Linked DNA regions of Arabidopsis thaliana. The protein of the gene in region 2 interacts with the protein of the main gene of each other region in a pairwise test. Each region holds a gene or a part of one and is shown on either strand. Other genes may lie near its edges. The genes, in order: FUT13, CHAL, PIP2B and AT5G63710.

Region 1 (4,480 bases), on a different chromosome or scaffold from region 2:
TCTTTCTTCTTATGCACTTCTTGTGCATATTTGTTATGTATATGATGGTTTTATAGAAAATTTTGTTTGATTAGCCTAAAAATCTGATCTCATATTTCTTTCCTAAAGCTGTTAATAGATAATACCAGAAGACCCATGTATGAATTTGATGTACCAAATGATTTTATGACCTACACGTTTGTCTATGTAATTAATTTATTTTTTCCATTCTCTATTTTACTACTAACATAATATCTTTGATTATCATTAAAAAAAAAAAAAAAAAATTATCTTTCTTTCTTCTAAGATTTTACGGTGATAAAAATGTGACAATAATCTGAATTTTGATGTCTCTTTGTCATACTTATACAGACGTTTTGAAACAATCGAAACTTTAATTCACCCAATATTTTGAATGGTTTTAGTTTTGATAAGTTTTAAATGATTCTGATTATTGTAGGTAAATATAGGAAAGTGGTTATGACTTGATTTTTGTCCTTTTTAACTTAGTCTACACAATCACAATCATAATCTATTTTGAATTTTTGATTAAGGAAAAGCTACACCAAGAGATCCCATTTAACTCTAACATAAGTGAATAATTCTGTTTTTGTCCCTTGAACACATGATTTGATAGCATTTACTTGATGATCTGAGACTATATAGGACAAAAAAGTTATCATATGTAACAGAAACAGATCATAGGATCACATTTACATAAACCCACACTAAATGAAACCACATGTGGCTCATCAAACTCCGGCGTTCTTCCCACCTCTTCTGCTAATCTCTTCGCACAACCGACATGGCAATGTATCGAGACTCACCGCACGGGTTTTCCCGTAGTTCCCCATTAGTCCACACCGCCTCCACGCATGGTACTCTGAGTAAGCCACAGGATCATCACCGAGCCGCTTCACGTACGCAGCCAACTCCTGCATCGAGCCGAATTTGCTACCATCGATCACGGAATGCGGAGGGACAAAGTCTTGCACGTTAGAGGCCCCAAAATAGATTGGAACAGAACCAGAGTCGAGCGCATAGAAAAGCTTCTCGGTCACGTATGACTCAACAGCTGTGTTTTCGATTGCAAGGACGAATTTGTAGTGTGACATAGCGCAGTGGAGGTGATCGTACCATTTTGCTTCAGCGTTGTGCTCAGCGACACATTCTGGATACATAGAGAGAGCTGAGTCCAAGCCACCAACATTGTTAAGACACTTACCAAAGGAGTGGTGGGGAATCAAATCGAGTAGGCTCTTTGCTAGACGATCTCTGTGAGGGAGGCATCTTGAGGAAGACCAATACACCAGAACATCCTGTGCAATGTTTAACAATCGAATTAAAAAACGATGAAATGAAAGAAGAACAGTATGGAATGGGTGTATAAAACGTTACTTACATTGTTTTTATGTGGAGAGATGTGATAGTTTCTGTTATTATGAAAGAGCGAACCGGCGTAAGTTGTTTGGACATCGTCTTTCGCATGGTAGCTGATGAATATATCTTCACGGCCTGAGCGTTTTCTTCCGGCCTCTAGCTCCATGTACACACGGAGCGGATCTCCAACACGTCTCTAAGGAAACAAACCAAGAAACTCAGCATCAATGGGATCCAATTATTGAAAGAAAACTATAGTGAAGCAGGCACTGAAGGGAAAATAAGAACATAGGAGATTTTAGTTTGCCTTTATTATCCATATCTATGTCCAACTTTCAAAAATGAATTGACTAAGAACAAGAATAGCAGTACACAAAGATTCTTCTGGTTTACAATAAGCTCACGTAGACAATTAAACTCTGAAATTTTCCACTTTACAAACCAAAATTCTTGAACCATATAGACAACAATGAAAAAGTATCTTTTAGTGAGTCATAGAACTAAAAGATCTGCTAGAGTGAAGAATACATCACAAGATCACATCCAATTTGGGGTAAGAAAAAACAGACAGTGTGATCTAATCTGTCCCAATCATCCAAATCTATAACTACTTTCCAAAACGCAAACTTTGACAAGATTAGCAACAAGCAATTTTATTACCTGTAGTGGAGGAGTTGTTGTCTCGAACAACAAAGCATCAGGTGAATCAGCCAAAACCGATGATTTAGTCCACAAACAAGTCATCCCACAACGACAAGAATACAAATTTTCCAAATTATCCGGAATCCAAGTCCACCCTTTAACCAATACCTTAACATGCTTCATCTTAAGCTTACCACAACCAAATTCTTGTAAAGAACCCGAACTAACATTACCCAAAATCGCATCTTTATGATTCTCCCTAAACCGAGCACAACCCACTTCAAAGTCCCATTTTTTATAAGCTACAAGAACATCACTGAATGGATCCGATGTTGAATCAGACAATTTCGGTTCCGGGTCTATTGAATGCTCCATCGAAGTTGAAGCAGATGGGAATTCTAAAATGCCTGTGAAAGAGAGGATCAAGAGAGTAAAGAACATCATTAGTAGAGCGGCCATTGCGTTGAGGTATCTCATTGGCATGGTGTGATTGATTCCTTAAACCACCGGAGATCCTCAACGACGCCGGAGGAGAATAGACCGGCCAACGGTGGGATGGAGTTTTCTTCATTCACTTTAGCCCAAATCAGTTTATGTTACTGGACCTTAATTAGGCCTACTGGGCCTATTTACTAGATAGGATCGTATCAATGCAAACGGATAGAGATAAGAGTGATCAGATAGTAATAACAAGGAAAGAGACGTGTATATACATAAGCTCATATTTCTTTGTACAAAGGAACCGAGTTTGTGTAATTGTCGAAGTGTTAAAATCTCTCTAACCTAAATCCGATGATGTTTCATCTCAACCAAAAGACTATAAAAGCATCGTTACACACACACACACCACACACAAACGCCAGAAGTACGTTTCGTAGTAAAACTCAAATGCAAAAGAAATAATCTTATATGACCTGAACCAAGAGTGGTTGGTTCTGTAGACTTTCTAACAGTCTGGAAGCGAGTTTGCAGAGGCGTATGGAGAGAAAGTTCCAGCTGATTCACTGTAACGCAGTGGATTCAACGGATAATTCGATGATCCAGCCATTGCAGGTGATGCATTGCTCGGGCTAGGTCTATACGGTGACATGTACCTCGTGTTGAAAGGGGAGATAGTTGGGTAACCTAGTGACTGTGGAGAAGCCATATGGGAAATGTATGATCTCTGTGATGGTGATGGAGATGGAGAAGCTGCTTGTTGTCTGAGATCCACTGAGCTTCGACTTACGCTTATTGGAGGTGATCGACGGTTAGAGGAAGACTGGAATGATTGTCTAATATAGGATGAGCTTGCGTATGCGGGAGAGAAAGAGATTGAAGTTGGTAATGAGCCCAAGGAAGGACCAATCAATAGTGCAGATGATCTGACTGAAGAGTGCAGAGAGGAAGAAGTGAAAGACGATGCAGCAGATGAGAGCAATGGCGTGCTCTCTGAAGCTGGAGGCTCTCCCGTGCTCGTTCTTGCATCTCGTTTGCACACCGGACAGAAAGTTCTCCAAGAGGTTAACCATGAGTCAACACACGCAGCATGAAACTCTGAAAACATACACACAAAAACAGAATCAGAAATTGTTAGTTAGTTCTAAGTTCTAACAAATGTGCCCTGAGTTACAGGATTTTGTATACAATGTACTCACTGTGACAGCAAGGTAAGAGCCTGAGCTTGTCTCCAACAGTGTAGTCTTCAAGGCAAATAGCACAAGTGAATGCAGTAGTGTTATCTTCATGAAACGAACTGAATATAAGACTCGGCATTGCTTTCACCAAGCGGCGGCTCATACCGTGAAACTCACGCACTCGAGAGGACCGAGATGTCCGCCTTCTTATTCGATGCCTACGCACAAAGAAACAAGTAGCGAGAACAGCCGACATTGCAAGCAGCGAGATAAACGAAACCGCCATAATAGACCACGCCGAGTTCTCAAAACTTGGGATCAACCAAACTTTCGTATCGGGGAAACCCGCATACTCCTTTAAAACTTCTCCCGTTTCTTTCGTAACAAAGACCGCATGAATCCTTATACCTCCAGAGTTACCTGCCACTGCAAATCTCAAAACTTTCAGCAAAATGTAGAAACAACAGAATCACAAGATCAAGACATAAATTTTCATACTTGCTATCAATGTTCCACGGTCTTCATTGTCATAGATAATAGCAGCTTTGAAACCAGCTCTCTGAGCTTTTCTAACTTTCTCTTCAAAACTACAGCCTCCTCTAACAATCAACACAAAAGGAGAAGTTTCATTGGAGCTCTGTTCTGGTTTATTCATAAGATTTTGACAAGCGTCAAGAGGCTCAGCCACATAAACCACTCCAATTTCACCTGTACCCTTCACTGACGGAGCTGTTGCAAGAAACAGATTAAAAATCTCTTCTTTTTTATGCGTTGACCCCAATTACAGATTCAATTCATCAAAAATCTGAAATGAAAACAGAGTGATAAGGAAGAGACTCACCGAAGTTAGCTTCGATGTCATC
Region 2 (4,389 bases):
GTGTTTTTAATTTGAAAAAAAAATGTTGCTTGAAGAGTCTTCATCAGCGACGGTTTATGTTGGTGGAGATAAAGGGAAAAAACAACCAAAAATCGATGTTAATCCGAAAGAATGACCCCTTTACTAAGGCTATTACGGTTGAATATAGTGATTCTTTTTTATATAGATTTTAAATTGATGGTTATGTTTAAGTGATCAATCAACAATGGAAATTTCGCTTTCTTTCAAGGCTATCAGCTATGTTTTGGGGTTTCCAAATAACTTAATCAAGAAAAATAAAACAAAAAAAAATTGATATTGTCCGATCTAATATCACACAATCTTAAATGTACAAAAAAGCTTCTAAACCCACGTCAGAATTAATATTTCTCGACACATGATCAAAGAAATAATTTTAAGAGACATAGCCTTTAGTTATAACAAAATTATAGTTTAAGAATATAAAATGTAAATCAAAAACCTATATATATGTAAAGAACATATGGGATTTTGTTTAACATTTTATATTACTTCTCTTCATCTTAAGTTTCTTTCTAATGGACTAATGGTTATGTCACATTTTGAGCTCTATTTTTTTTTTTTTTTTGAACTCCGTTAATTGTAACAAAAAAAAAACTTTCAGATTTTGTTTTATAGAAACTTAAGGCGAGACAGCTTTGTTGGGCATGTTACCTTTGATTTCTTTCCCTCCACCAATCACAAAACTAGTATATTAGATATGATCATATGAACCATTAATTTTACACAATTTTTTCAGTTGTGGTTCACTATGTCCTCACGAACGTTCAATTGTATAGTTGTAATCAGACGTATTCTACCAACACTAGATATAATATTACCAATTCAACATAAAAATAAAATATTTGGTATTAGGATGATTATATTGTTGCATAATCTAGACCGCATAAAAATGGTATTGTCAAACGTAACAAGAAATTTTGAAGCATTGATATATGTACATTTGATAACCTATAAATTTTTCCAAAATATTAGTTTCTCTCATGCTTCATGCTAAAATCATTAAATATTTTGTTGTCTAATAGCTTTCTTTTAGAATTAAAAAAAAAAAAGAATTTACTAATCCCATTGTTAAAAGTTTATACTGCAACTTGTTTGCCATTTTTATATATATATTTAGTACCGTTTCAACAGTTATTGTTTTTTCTATTTATACTATTAAGAATCTTTAGTATATAACCTTTGCTTGAATTGATAGGAGTAAAAAGTTATTGTTAAAACTACATATATAAATGTGTAATTTAGGAATGAACATGGAACCCTTCTTACACATTTGTTGGGATGTTTTGTCCATACCTCCTTGCCTTTAGAATCAAACTCATATATCATCCTACGGCCCTCCCTTACTCATCTCTCTTCAAATCAATCACCTCTCATCTCTCTACCTTAATTATGATTTTTTTTTTTAAGTTTCTACCAAGCAGTCATTTCCCCCCCCCCCCCCCCAACAATAATAATAAACTAAGTGAAACCCTAATCTTGAGTACTTATGATATGTTAAACCCTACACACATGCATATGAAAGAACTTAATCAAGAAATATAACTACATATAAAATATACAATAGATAAACATATGAGTGTGTATGTGTATATATATGTATAGCTTGGAAGATTGCTAAAAGCAATTTCTGGTGAAAGGAAGGGTACAATGACAGAGAGAATAGGGTGCAGGAGAATCTAACTCCCAAACTTAGCAATGCTTAGGTACCTTTCTTAATTACTTCTCTCTTCTTACACTCTTTCTCTCATTTCCCACTCATATACTATTTTATCTTCTTATTTCTTTTCTTATTATCCTTTTATATATAAATTTCCATATTTAATCACACATTTTTGCAGTTAACCCCTCCTTGTTCTATCTCTCATAGTCGACTCCATTTGCTCTTTCTCACTCTCAACCACTCCCACTACTCACTCTCGTTTTTTGAGAAAACCCAAATCATAAAAACCAAAAGACATTCAATATTCCTTTTCAATAATCTTTTCTTGATTTCCATTTTCATCTCAAGTTTTTTAAAAACCCACCAAGTTTTTTTTTTCGCATGGATGAGGAGATCATAACTAATCTCTGCTAGCCTCTTCTTAGGTTTTCAGAAAGTTTCGTAATTATGGGTTTCGAGAGAACATCATCATCATTATCATTATTATCATCATCATTACCATCATCATTACAACCATCAGAAAACACGAGAGCCAAGTTCAGTCTCTTCTATTTATTGCTACTCTTCTTCGTCCTCTGTGTCATTGCCACCTTCACTATAACTCCCACTTCGACTTCTTCTCCATGTAAGCCATCTTTCTTTTTCTCGTTATCATATTAATTATCAACTTTCTCAAACATTAATATCTTAGAATATTTTTGGTTACGTAACATAAATTATTACAGTACCATTCATATATTATCTTGTTGTAAAAATGCAGATAATAGGAATTCTAACTCTGGGACACTAGGGAACTTCTATGCAAAGGTTCGTAAACTGTTTATACCTCTTACTCTCTTGCGTGATCTAACAAGTAACAATTGTTTTTGTTTTTTTGCTGTTGAGTCAACAATTAGTTAGGAAATAGGAATCAAAAACCGTGTTAACTTCCTTTTTTTTGGCATAACTATAACCACATAAAATCCAAAAAAAGCTTAGTTTCTATTTTCTCCTGATTCAAGCATCTTTGGAGGACAAGATTGATGTTGATTCATCATTAAACACACTTTAAAAATAATATAAGCTTTTTTTTTTTTTTCCATAAATAATATAAGCTTATAATGCGGGGTTCTCTAAAAGGACTACACAAACAAAAGGGTTGTGGCTAAACTGCGCTTGAACAGTCAGCGACTGTGACGGCATGTCGAGACTGACTGGGCATGCAGAGATGCCATGTACTCCTAAAGAAATTCTCAGCCGTCGGATTGGTTTCAGCGCACACGAGGACAAGGACAGTACTCAACTTTTGGTTCGTTCACCACTCGTGGGACCCTGCCTTGCTTACGATCTCGATCGAGTGGTAATATTAGCCCCCACGGTGCACGTTAACGTATGACAGGCTCTTGGAACTTCTCAATCTCTCTGCCCTTTTTGGTAATGTGCGTAGCGCTTTTTCCGGAGCGGTTTTCCCGCGTCTTGTCTCACATCCCCAACCCTGTCTTAAAAATGTTTTTTACCTAAACTGCGCATTTTAACAATAATATGCGTATGTCAGCATGAAATCGCACGTTAGTAACGCAGTCCTCTCACTATCTTATGTTGATAGCAGCTGAAATTGAGTTCACTAGAAGATACTAATTATTGAACGTTAATTAGAAAATACTAATTATTCTTGATTAACCATATTGTTTGGTTTGTTTTACTAGATGTATTATCCTAATGAAGAAAATAATAAATTAGGATATGTATACGTTTGAATATATATTTAGTAATGAAAAATGTGATAATATGTACGTTTTGAGTATGTGTTCAGGAGGAAGGCAAGAGTACCGTAGTGATAAAGAAGACTAGGAAGATCGGTGACCGGAGCAAGGAGGCAGAGCTACGGAGGATTCTAAGGGGATTGGGCTCATCTCCACCACGGTGCTCCTCCAAGTGTGGAAGATGCACTCCGTGCAAGCCTGTTCACGTTCCGGTGCCTCCCGGCACGCCTGTCACCGCCGAATACTACCCGGAAGCTTGGAGATGCAAGTGCGGCAACAAGTTGTACATGCCATGATCTTTTATAATATATATACTCACATATATACATTATATATATGAATTATATGCATGTTCGTAGTTATATCTTGCCTCTACTCCAAATATTTATTATACATTGACATGTTGCTAGGACAACCTCAACGTGAAACTTTTGCTGATAAATTGATTGATGATGCTCGTATAGACGATATGACGTTCTTAGCATATGATTTCGTATATGGTGACATAATTCATGAATAATATCAACATTTGGTGTCAAAAGGAAACATATTTCTTGTCTTCTTCTTCAACGTACTTGCTTATAATGAACAAAAAATAAAAAAACGTACTCGCTTTCTAATAAGTATCACATAGGTTTAGGCTCATAAACATATGGACTAACATAAATAAACCAAAAGCCCAATAACATTACTCTTAGCATATACATATAAGTAAACTATTAACATCTGTCTGCGGGACTCGTTGATTTCATTTAAATTCTGTAGTCTCAGCTCGTTCAATTTAATCTATTCGTACACACTGATAATATTCAAGAAAACATATGCTAACGTATAACGTATTACGTATCCAAATACACCTTACACCACTCACACATAGCCCATATATAAAAGTTTGAAGGATTTAAAGTCGCAGACTCGCGGTCATTTTTTTTCTTTAAAGTCGCAGTCATTGACTGACTGATTCTT
Region 3 (4,094 bases), 2.7 Mb from region 2:
CGATTTATGTAAAACCCTGATTTTGGTCTTGAGGCACATTTTTTGGATAATCTACATTGGATTAAAGAAATTTCGAAGTTTTTGTCTGTATGACCATCTATAGGTTTTTAATATTTTGTTCACGCTCTTCTTGATATTGTTATTTCTGAAAATGACGTTTGTATACTTTAAGTAAAGTGACGCAAATTAGTTGTTGAACCAACAGCTTTCCTGCGTAAGCTCTCGTTACAAATTCTATGAGCTTAAACTAGTGAGTGGAATGTCAACTCAAAACTAAGTGTTCAACAAAATTCGTTTTTGGTGTAGATTAATTGAATTTGAGACGATCTTACCAATTGACTTGTGCTTTAGTTGTTGTTTAATTAGGTGATGGCGACAAGCTGACAAAAAAGTGCCAAACACATAAGTTTTTGTTCTGTCTTAATCCTCTTCAGTGGAGGATAATTTAAATCACATGAACTTATAAATTATAACTATTAATGTAGTCTATGTAGATATGCTTTTAGCTGGTAATATCATCTGTATAAAATAAAAAGAGGGAGGAGAAGGCAAAACAATTTGGTTTTCATTAATTGTTTTCCCGAGTACACAAACATTGGCATTGGCACATATCAAAGTATTACACCACAATGAAAACAGAAAAACAAGAAGAAATATAGTGCATAGTTTTACAAGCAAAGTTGCCAATTTTTGTACATACATAATAACACAACCATTTTGTAATTGTTGTTATTATGATAGGTTTTTTTTTGTGTGGCAAAAACTCAAACGTTGGCTGCACTTCTGAAGGATCCAAGTGACTTGGAACCTGAAGCCCTTAGGACAAATTGGTGATAAAATGCAGCTATCGCAGCTCCAATGAATGGTCCCACCCAGAATATCCACTGTATTTAGATAGACCAAAAAAACAGTTCATTATTTTCCCATCAAACAATAGTCCATAATTTGATTAATTTTAAATAATTAAGAAATAGAAACGTACGTGGTCATCCCATGGCTTGCTCTTGTTATAGATTACGGCAGCTCCGAAACTCCTAGCCGGGTTGATGCCGGTTCCGGTGATCGGAATAGTGGCCAAATGTACCATAAACACCGCAAACCCAATCGGAAGTGGCGCCAAAACCTTTCGTTTCATAATTCATAACACTAAGTATTAATTAATGTTATCGTATGTTACCAGAACGATCTTATAACTGATAGAAATAAATACTAACCGGAACGTGGGAGTCTCTAGCGTTACGTTTGGGATCAGTAGCGGAGAAGACTGTGTAGACGAGAACGAATGTTCCAATGATCTCTGCGGCTAGTCCGGTGCCTGTGTTGTAGCCGTCTGCTAGAGAGTTGGCTCCTCCACCGTAACGATCATAGTAAGAGCTTTGAAAGGCTTTGACGAAACCAACTCCACAAATAGCACCCAAACACTGAGCCACCATGTAAAGCACCGCCCTAATCAGCGATACCTTCCGGGCTAAGAACAAACCAAACGTCACCGCAGGGTTTATGTGACCACCTACAAAGTTCTTGGGGTTAATTTCAAATAAATTACAAAACAAAGGACAAATTTGAAAGGTCCACAAATGTTAAATTTTCTGAACCGGGTAATAAACCGGACCGGTTTCGATATATGATACCTGAGATACCGGCGGTGCAGTAGACAAGGATGAAGATCATGCCACCAAAAGCCCACGCGATGCCAAGGATTCCGACGCCGCCGCAGTCAACTCCACCGGCTTTTGTGTCGGACTGAATCTTGTAACCGATGACAGTTAAAACGGTGATGTACAAGAAGAGGAGAGTGGCTACGAACTCGGCAATGACGGCTCTGTATAAAGACCACTTGGTAAGCTCGTCCGCATCGAAAAACGGAGTTGGTGGCGGATCTTCGTAGTCTCTTGTCTGAAATCCCTCAGGTCCTTCCACGTCTTTGGCCATTTCTATAACTTTTTTTGTTATATATGAAAGTTGTGTTTTGTATTGTGGATATGTTGTGTTTGTGAAGACTGAAGAGACGAATGAAAGTTGTTTATATAGAGAGACTATAGCTATAGTGAGTGCTCTCATTAATTTTGCTTGTCAATATACGTTAATAATTGTATACGTGTTATTGATTGATTATATTACGATAATGTTTTCCTTTTGGTAGGCTTATGGTTGTTTTTATTATTCGTTTCAATGAAATGAATATAGAATTGTGTGTATGACGATTATGATTATTTTTGTGGAAACTTTCTTTCACTAATTAATTACCTAGCTAGCTGTCATGATGATATATAATCTAAACCAATCTAATCATTGCTACATAATCAATAGAAACTGATTTTGCTTAATATATTCATGTTCCACTGTTTTTTTTTTGTTTAAGCAGAATTTCCATATACATTAGTATAATTAACTGATGATAGTAAGAATTAGCTACTGCTAAGAGTTTTTCATCTCAATTAGTGTTTGTCATAATATGATAGTTAAGGTATTGTTTTGTTGACAAAATTAACTATAACTAAATTATTATTATTTTGGTTTCAACTTCAACTATTGATACAAATCTGTAACTAAAGATGAACTTATTTGAGATTCTGATTATTTAAAAGAATGATTGTGGAGCTATCAATAGGAACAGAGACCTTTTAATTCTAAAATTATGGTTGATAATGGAGTTTTGTGGTTAATTTAACTTAGCCTCGCCGCCCCATACCTAAACGTTGTTTTCATTTGGACCGACCCTAATATACTATATGCTTCTATATTTTTCTTTCTCTTGTCCTATGTCATGAGCCTTGTCCTCCCCCTAGAATAATATAGACTGTCACTCTTTTACACATAAAATAAATAAAAAATATGAAGTTATGAACCTTATCTATTTGGGCAATACTTGAAAGTTGTTACTTGTTAACGATAAAGCTTTTTGAACTACGAGATAGCTAGATTGATCAATAGTAAAATTTCTGATTATCTAGATTCTATCATCCTTCATTTAATTTCTAGAAGGAGCTCCTTATATAGTTATACTAGTTCTTATGCATGTAATTAGTAACGATTAAATTGACTTCCTATGCTCTTAACGTTACAAATCAAATCTATTAGGTGGATAAAAAAGAGTCTTTTGATAGCTCTCAGCTAACCCTACCATATAACAAAAACATAATTTATCACATGGACATGATAAAAGAAACGGCGTCGCTTCACGGGTTATGTTTCCACTAAAGTAGAAAATATGATGAAAGTTGGGTCCACTGGACCGGAGAAACCGCCCCATATAGAATTGATTAGCTCCGTCAATTGCATCGGCACCGTCCATACAGATTAAGTCCAACTCCAGTTCAGCCGTCCCAACCACTCCTCTTATGCCACGTTGTTTAGTCCCCATATTCAACAATCATTTGCTCTCACTCCTCAATTCCAAATTTCCAATTGCAATTTTCTTACGTATATTATTCAGTATTCACTAATCACTAGTCTGTCTACAAAAATAAATTGGAAAAATAAAAAGTGTACATAGACAAAAGGAATGTGGTGTAATGTGGTGTTCATGGCCAATGTTTTGCCACGTCACAATATCCTTATCGTTGTAGCGACATTTCTCTGCTCTTATTGGATTATATTTCCACGTCAGAAAGGTGCTCTCTCTCTCTCGGTCTCTCCCCTGGTTTTATTTTTGTTTTCTTTCATCTTTGTCGCTTTCTGTTTTGTTAAAGAATTGTCTACTCGATATTGGTTACGAATGGTATTGTTCTCTGTGGAAAAATGGGTTAATTTGTTATGATAAACATTTTTTGTTCCAAACAAATAAATGTTCTTTCATTTCATAGTAAATTTTTTAGTCTTCTGAACACACGTATATATATGCTTGCTAACAATGAATCCACAATAACAGATCATAAAATTACATCTGACTCATATGTAATTCTATCATGATATGTTGAGTCAATATATAGTCGATGGAGTATATATAGAGTTATAATTTGATTGTAGTGTCCTATGACAGATTTAACACTCAGCTTACACCGAAAAAGTTAAGTCTCAAATAAATTACGTATTTATGCGTTATTTAACTTATTATACAAAATGACCTAAAATACCATTTCATTTTCCTATAC
Region 4 (5,738 bases), on a different chromosome or scaffold from region 2:
CTCCACTACATTCATATCTCTCGCCATCGCTCTCTCTCTCTCGATCCGATGTTACTTGGCGGTGACCTAGTTAGTGGCGACAGAGCAAGAAGAAGAAAAACTTATCTCTCTAATTCTGATATTAAGGCTGAAAATTAGCCAAATAAATAGCTGTTTGAGTGACCTGTGTCAGTATTACTAGATTCTTAAGGATTCGCTTTGACCAATCACCCAAACGCCAACCTCTACTTTCCTAAAGTCTCTATTATACCCCTATCGTATCCAGGACACGTGTCCATTAAACACAGTTTCATAGGGGTTATTTCGTAAATTGAATAAGTCTTGCGTTCAGATGGACCTTTTTTTTTTACTTAGCGATTGCGTTTTGTGACCGGGAAGTACAATGCTCGCAAGTACAAAAGATATCGAACCAAGTTTTGTCTTTACCTAAATTTTGGATTATAAGTGATATTTGTTGTTAAAATTAATTTACTAATTATAACATTTTTATGAACAAATCATTTACAAGTTATAAGATTTTAATAAGTAAGAAAAGTAATCTGGCATTTGGTTTCACAATGTTCAAATTTATCTTTCTTTCTTTTTTTTTTGCTCTGAAGGCTTTTTTCTCACTTACCTAAGTTCATTTTTTCCTGATAAAAATAGAAAATAAATTTGAGTTTGTTTTATTTGTGAATGTTGATGAAATTTAACTTTTGAAATATACGTTCTAGATTGAGATATGATCATCAGATCTTTTTGCAGATCGAACAAAAGTCTCAATAAGGTGAAGAATCGTATGACAACATATAAAGGGAGGAGCATAAGAACATGTCCAACTAATCAAGCATATTAGTATTGATATCATTATTCCGTATATATTCTTAGTCTCTTCTTCCTCACATTATGTTCTCTTTCTCTTTTCTTCACCTAATTTTCCTATTAAAAATATCTATCTTTTTTTCTCTTCTGCCTACATTTCTACATGATGTTTCAACATAGCTCTTAAGGGAAATAACCTAAAGTTTTCTAAACATTGATGTTTTACTACGTCTTTTTTGAAAGGCGGTAACTAAATTTGTTTTTTTTTTTGTTTTTTAAAAGGATATCAAAAGATCAATTACTTACCTTATAAATGTTAAAAATGTAAACTTCTCAATGTTTGAATTTATTTACTCAAAAACAGATAGTTAAATATATATATATATATATATAGTTATAGGTTATGTTAAAACTATTTTAGTTTGTATCATATCCTTTGATTTGAAGGTCAGAGAAGAAAGGAATATATACAAAAACGCCCTTTTGCATTGTCATCGTCCAGAATAGTGGAGTAATATAACACGAACAAGTGGAAGTGTGGAACCTTCTTACACATGCTTCTGTCTCTTCCTAAAGCATAAGCCATTTTCCCAAACATTATTAAGTTCTTAATTAAGTCATTGGTTTGTTTTCTATTACTAATTCGTTTAAATCATTCTTTATTACTTTATGTTTATTTTGGGCCATCTATATCCTTTTTTGTTAAAATTGATATCCTTTTTAGCCCCAATCACATCCCAAGTTACACACTTGCAAAAGAGATCTCACCCAAAATAAAGAAGCAAAAGAAGATGGAAAAATACACCTCCATTAAGAAATCAAAGATGTTTCAACTTAGTGGGATTCTCTTTCTCTCAAAGCAGCATTTCTTCATCTTCTTTTTACATCATAGAGATAAAAATATGAAAAATACCTTTTGTGGGTCCTTTATAAGCACTAACTTCTCTTTCTTTAGATGATTTTACATTATTGTTGCTTTTATTGGCTTCATTATTATACAAATCCTCCATTTCTCTCTTCAACCCCATGTTTTCGTTCTCTTCCGTTTAGAGTGTTTTCAGCTCCTCTATGGCTCACTCGGGTATTTAAAAGCTTTGTTTTACTTATACTTTAATGCCTATCTTTCTCCATTGTATATTAATTAGGTTTCTTGGTTTTTGTTGTTTATTTTACATAACTTTATTGTTTCTTTTAGTTTCGAGTTACAAAATATTTGGTACATATTTAGGTGAAACGGAGAGGTTTTTGATCATCAAAGCAAAGAGTCAAAGACAGAATTATAAATTTTGTTGTTCTTGATACTTATAAGCTTTCATTTTTCTTAATGTTTTCGGTTCAAATGAGCTCTGATAGAGGAGTTATGGATTGATCTGACAATGTTTCACATCAGAAAGCAATCAAAGCTGTTAGTTTTTAAGACATAATTAGACCCACAAATCGGTCTTTTCTTTTCTTTGCTTTCTTATGTTTAGTTAACATAGTTTGATCACACAAGTTATGTGTTTCTTGTATAGTAAGTTAACTTTCTCCATCGATTTGCTGCAATTTAGACTATAGATTCTGCAGCAGAAAAGAAAAGCTGTTTAAACTGAGATTGACTGATTTAATAAACTGCAGGGAACGGTGAAAGTTTCCATGATCCTCTTCGAGGATTCATTCAAAGAAATTGCTTTAGATGGAACAATCAGAAATTGATCTTACAATGTTTCATGGCCTTAGCTTTTGTGGGAATCACTTCGTCAACAACTCAACCAGATATCGAAGGTCTATATATAATTAGCCTTTGTTTATAAATCATTAATGATCTTGTAGTATTAACTCGCTTCTTGATTCATTTGCTAGGAGGAGCTCTGTTGCAGCTCAGAGATTCGCTTAATGATTCGAGCAATCGTCTAAAATGGACACGCGATTTTGTGAGCCCTTGCTATAGTTGGTCTTATGTTACCTGCAGAGGCCAGAGTGTTGTGGCTCTGTAAGTACTCTTAAAGATCACTTCTCAAGTTTTAGTTACCAAGATTTCTCATCATGTTGAAAAACTTGTTTTGTATCAATCTGTAGAAATCTTGCCTCGAGTGGATTCACAGGAACACTCTCTCCAGCTATTACAAAACTGAAGTTCTTGGTTACCTTGTAAGAGATCATAAACCAATTCCATTACAAGTTTCTTTTTAGGTTCCATTACTCATAGTAATTGTTCTTGATGCAGAGAGTTACAGAACAATAGTTTATCTGGTGCCTTACCAGATTCTCTTGGGAACATGGTTAATCTACAGACTTTAAACCTATCAGTGAATAGTTTCAGCGGATCGATACCAGCGAGCTGGAGTCAGCTCTCGAATCTAAAGCACTTGTAAGTCCACTCAAAAACTCTTTAGGAACAATCTTTGAAATGTGACTCTGTGAGAGCGTTTGGCTAAGATAAAACATTGAAATTTAATTCACAGGGATCTCTCATCCAATAATTTAACAGGAAGCATCCCAACACAATTCTTCTCAATCCCAACATTCGAGTAAAAAAAACTATTTTCCTCATGAATCTACCTAATTAGTCACAGTGACTTGTCAGTACTATAATCACGTTTTTGTGATTTTTCTGCAGTTTTTCAGGAACTCAGCTTATATGCGGTAAAAGTTTGAATCAGCCTTGTTCTTCAAGTTCTCGTCTTCCAGGTTCTTAATTATTTCTTCTTTCTCCAATTCACATACAAACAGAAAGACTTAACTTAGTATCTTTATGTTCAGTCACATCCTCCAAGAAAAAGCTGAGAGACATTACTTTGACTGCAAGTTGTGTTGCTTCTATAATCTTATTCCTTGGAGCAATGGTTATGTATCATCACCATCGCGTCCGCAGAACCAAATACGACATCTTTTTTGATGTAGCTGGTAAGAAGTTACATATACTTATAGTCAAACATCTCATTAGATCAATATGAACTCTTGAGCCAATATCCTTTTTCCTTAAAAAATGCAGGGGAAGATGACAGGAAGATTTCCTTTGGACAACTAAAACGATTCTCTTTACGTGAAATCCAGCTCGCAACAGATAGTTTCAACGAGAGCAATTTGATAGGACAAGGAGGATTTGGTAAAGTATACAGAGGTTTGCTTCCAGACAAAACAAAAGTTGCAGTGAAACGCCTTGCGGATTACTTCAGTCCTGGAGGAGAAGCTGCTTTCCAAAGAGAGATTCAGCTCATAAGCGTTGCGGTTCATAAAAATCTCTTACGCCTTATTGGCTTCTGCACAACTTCCTCTGAGAGAATCCTTGTTTATCCATACATGGAAAATCTTAGTGTTGCATATCGACTAAGAGGTATATATACTTAGCTTCTCTATCACTTAACCAAATAATAGATTCTATAATGTGTGTGTACATATGTGACATTGTAGATTTGAAAGCGGGAGAGGAAGGATTAGACTGGCCAACAAGGAAGCGTGTAGCTTTTGGTTCAGCTCACGGTTTAGAGTATCTACACGAACATTGTAACCCGAAGATCATACACCGCGATCTCAAGGCTGCAAACATACTTTTAGACAACAATTTTGAGCCAGTTCTTGGAGATTTCGGTTTAGCTAAGCTTGTGGACACATCTCTGACTCATGTCACAACTCAAGTCCGAGGCACAATGGGTCACATTGCGCCAGAGTATCTCTGCACAGGAAAATCATCTGAAAAAACCGATGTTTTTGGTTACGGTATAACGCTTCTTGAGCTTGTTACTGGTCAGCGCGCAATCGATTTTTCACGCTTGGAAGAAGAGGAAAATATTCTCTTGCTTGATCATGTAAGATTGACTTCTTTTACATGCTTTCTTCTATCTGAAAAGACTTGAAACTAATCTTAAGTTGTTGGATGTGTATGAAACAGATAAAGAAGTTGCTTAGAGAACAGAGACTTAGAGACATTGTTGATAGCAATTTGACTACATATGACTCCAAAGAAGTTGAAACAATCGTTCAAGTGGCTCTTCTCTGCACACAAGGCTCACCAGAAGATAGACCAGCGATGTCTGAAGTGGTCAAAATGCTTCAAGGGACTGGTGGTTTGGCTGAGAAATGGACTGAATGGGAACAACTTGAAGAAGTTAGGAACAAAGAAGCATTGTTGCTTCCGACTTTACCGGCTACTTGGGATGAAGAAGAAACCACCGTTGATCAAGAATCTATCCGATTATCGACAGCAAGATGAAGAAGAAACAGAGAGAGAAAGATATCTATGAAAACAAACTTGCATTACAGAAGATAAACTTAGAAAGTATTTTAAGCTGCTAATTGTATTGAACCAGGTGGGGAAAACGAAGCAAACACACAACGTTGATTTGTGTAATAGATGATATGATATACATAACTAGTTGTGTTTTGTATATATATGAATTTGGTTATTTTCGTATGATAATGATGATCATGGTTGTTATGGTGGCAGTGTTTGCTCTGTTTTTCTACATACGTCGTCGTTTCGTGTGTGTCCCGTAAAAATTATAAACTTCTGAATCCAGTCCTTGAAGTTTAGTTGGTTTTTCAATTTTACCTTCAACTTTTGTATTCTAACAATTTACCCCACTTGTGACATTGTTTATGGCTAATTTTACGTCGAGTATTCTTGTTTTTTTCTGCACGTCGAGTATTCTTGTTTCTAGATTGTAAATGATGTACTATCAAGAAAACTAATTGTCCAGTCTATGTATCTCATGAAATTATTAGACTAGTGATTTATTGGAAGGGATGATACAGTGACAGAACAAAACAAATCTAGATGTTTTTGTTGTAGTGACATGGATTCAGAGTGTAGATTCATAAGAACAGAACTTTCATGGATTAAGATTTATTCTTAAACTCTAGATCCTCTGGTATTAAAATACAGATTGTTAATTTTGGTGTTGTGTACTTTGGGTGCGTTAAATGAAGGATGAGGCAAGGAATGGGACCGGAGACAG

The links.
Region 1: the proteins of CHAL (region 2) and FUT13 interact in a protein complementation assay, tested with the Arabidopsis thaliana proteins (one large-scale study listed by BioGRID).
Region 3: the proteins of CHAL (region 2) and PIP2B interact in a protein complementation assay, tested with the Arabidopsis thaliana proteins (one large-scale study listed by BioGRID).
Region 4: the proteins of CHAL (region 2) and AT5G63710 interact in a protein complementation assay, tested with the Arabidopsis thaliana proteins (one large-scale study listed by BioGRID).

What each region holds. Positions count from the first base shown.
Region 1 is NC_003070.9:27,098,349-27,102,828, reverse strand, and holds FUT13 (fucosyltransferase 13), read right to left. Parts: upstream 2,620-4,480; 5' UTR 2,485-2,619; coding exon 2,020-2,484; intron 1,556-2,019; coding exon 1,382-1,555; intron 1,299-1,381; coding exon 732-1,298; 3' UTR 537-731; downstream 1-536. Other genes in the region: AT1G71980 (Protease-associated (PA) RING/U-box zinc finger family protein), read right to left, coding at 2,948-3,537, 3,639-4,043, 4,116-4,346, 4,459-4,480. UniProt on the Arabidopsis thaliana protein: May be involved in cell wall synthesis. Catalyzes alpha-1,4 glycosidic linkages and generates Lewis-a epitopes.
Region 2 is NC_003071.7:12,939,907-12,944,295, reverse strand, and holds CHAL (allergen-like protein), read left to right. Parts: upstream 1-1,886; 5' UTR 1,887-2,106; coding exon of another isoform or gene 2,107-2,128; coding exon 2,129-2,306; intron 2,307-2,441; coding exon 2,442-2,534; intron 2,535-2,844; coding exon 2,845-3,020; intron 3,021-3,473; coding exon 3,474-3,719; 3' UTR 3,720-3,841; downstream 3,842-4,389. UniProt on the Arabidopsis thaliana protein: Acts primarily as positive regulator of inflorescence growth. Endodermal expression is sufficient for proper inflorescence architecture. Redundantly involved with EPFL4 in procambial development regulation.
Region 3 is NC_003071.7:15,612,860-15,616,953, forward strand, and holds PIP2B (plasma membrane intrinsic protein 2), read right to left. Parts: upstream 2,164-4,094; 5' UTR 2,062-2,163; coding exon 1,632-2,061; intron 1,511-1,631; coding exon 1,215-1,510; intron 1,124-1,214; coding exon 983-1,123; intron 885-982; coding exon 765-884; 3' UTR 509-764; downstream 1-508.
Region 4 is NC_003076.8:25,497,606-25,503,343, forward strand, and holds AT5G63710 (Leucine-rich repeat protein kinase family protein), read left to right. Parts: upstream 1-1,905; 5' UTR 1,906-2,298; coding exon 2,299-2,314; intron 2,315-2,327; exon of another isoform or gene 2,328-2,418; coding exon 2,419-2,565; intron 2,566-2,643; coding exon 2,644-2,773; intron 2,774-2,859; coding exon 2,860-2,931; intron 2,932-3,007; coding exon 3,008-3,151; intron 3,152-3,245; coding exon 3,246-3,311; intron 3,312-3,400; coding exon 3,401-3,471; intron 3,472-3,543; coding exon 3,544-3,687; intron 3,688-3,775; coding exon 3,776-4,117; intron 4,118-4,194; coding exon 4,195-4,589; intron 4,590-4,672; coding exon 4,673-4,993; 3' UTR 4,994-5,226; downstream 5,227-5,738. Other genes in the region: AT5G63700 (zinc ion binding / DNA binding protein), read right to left, coding at 1-27.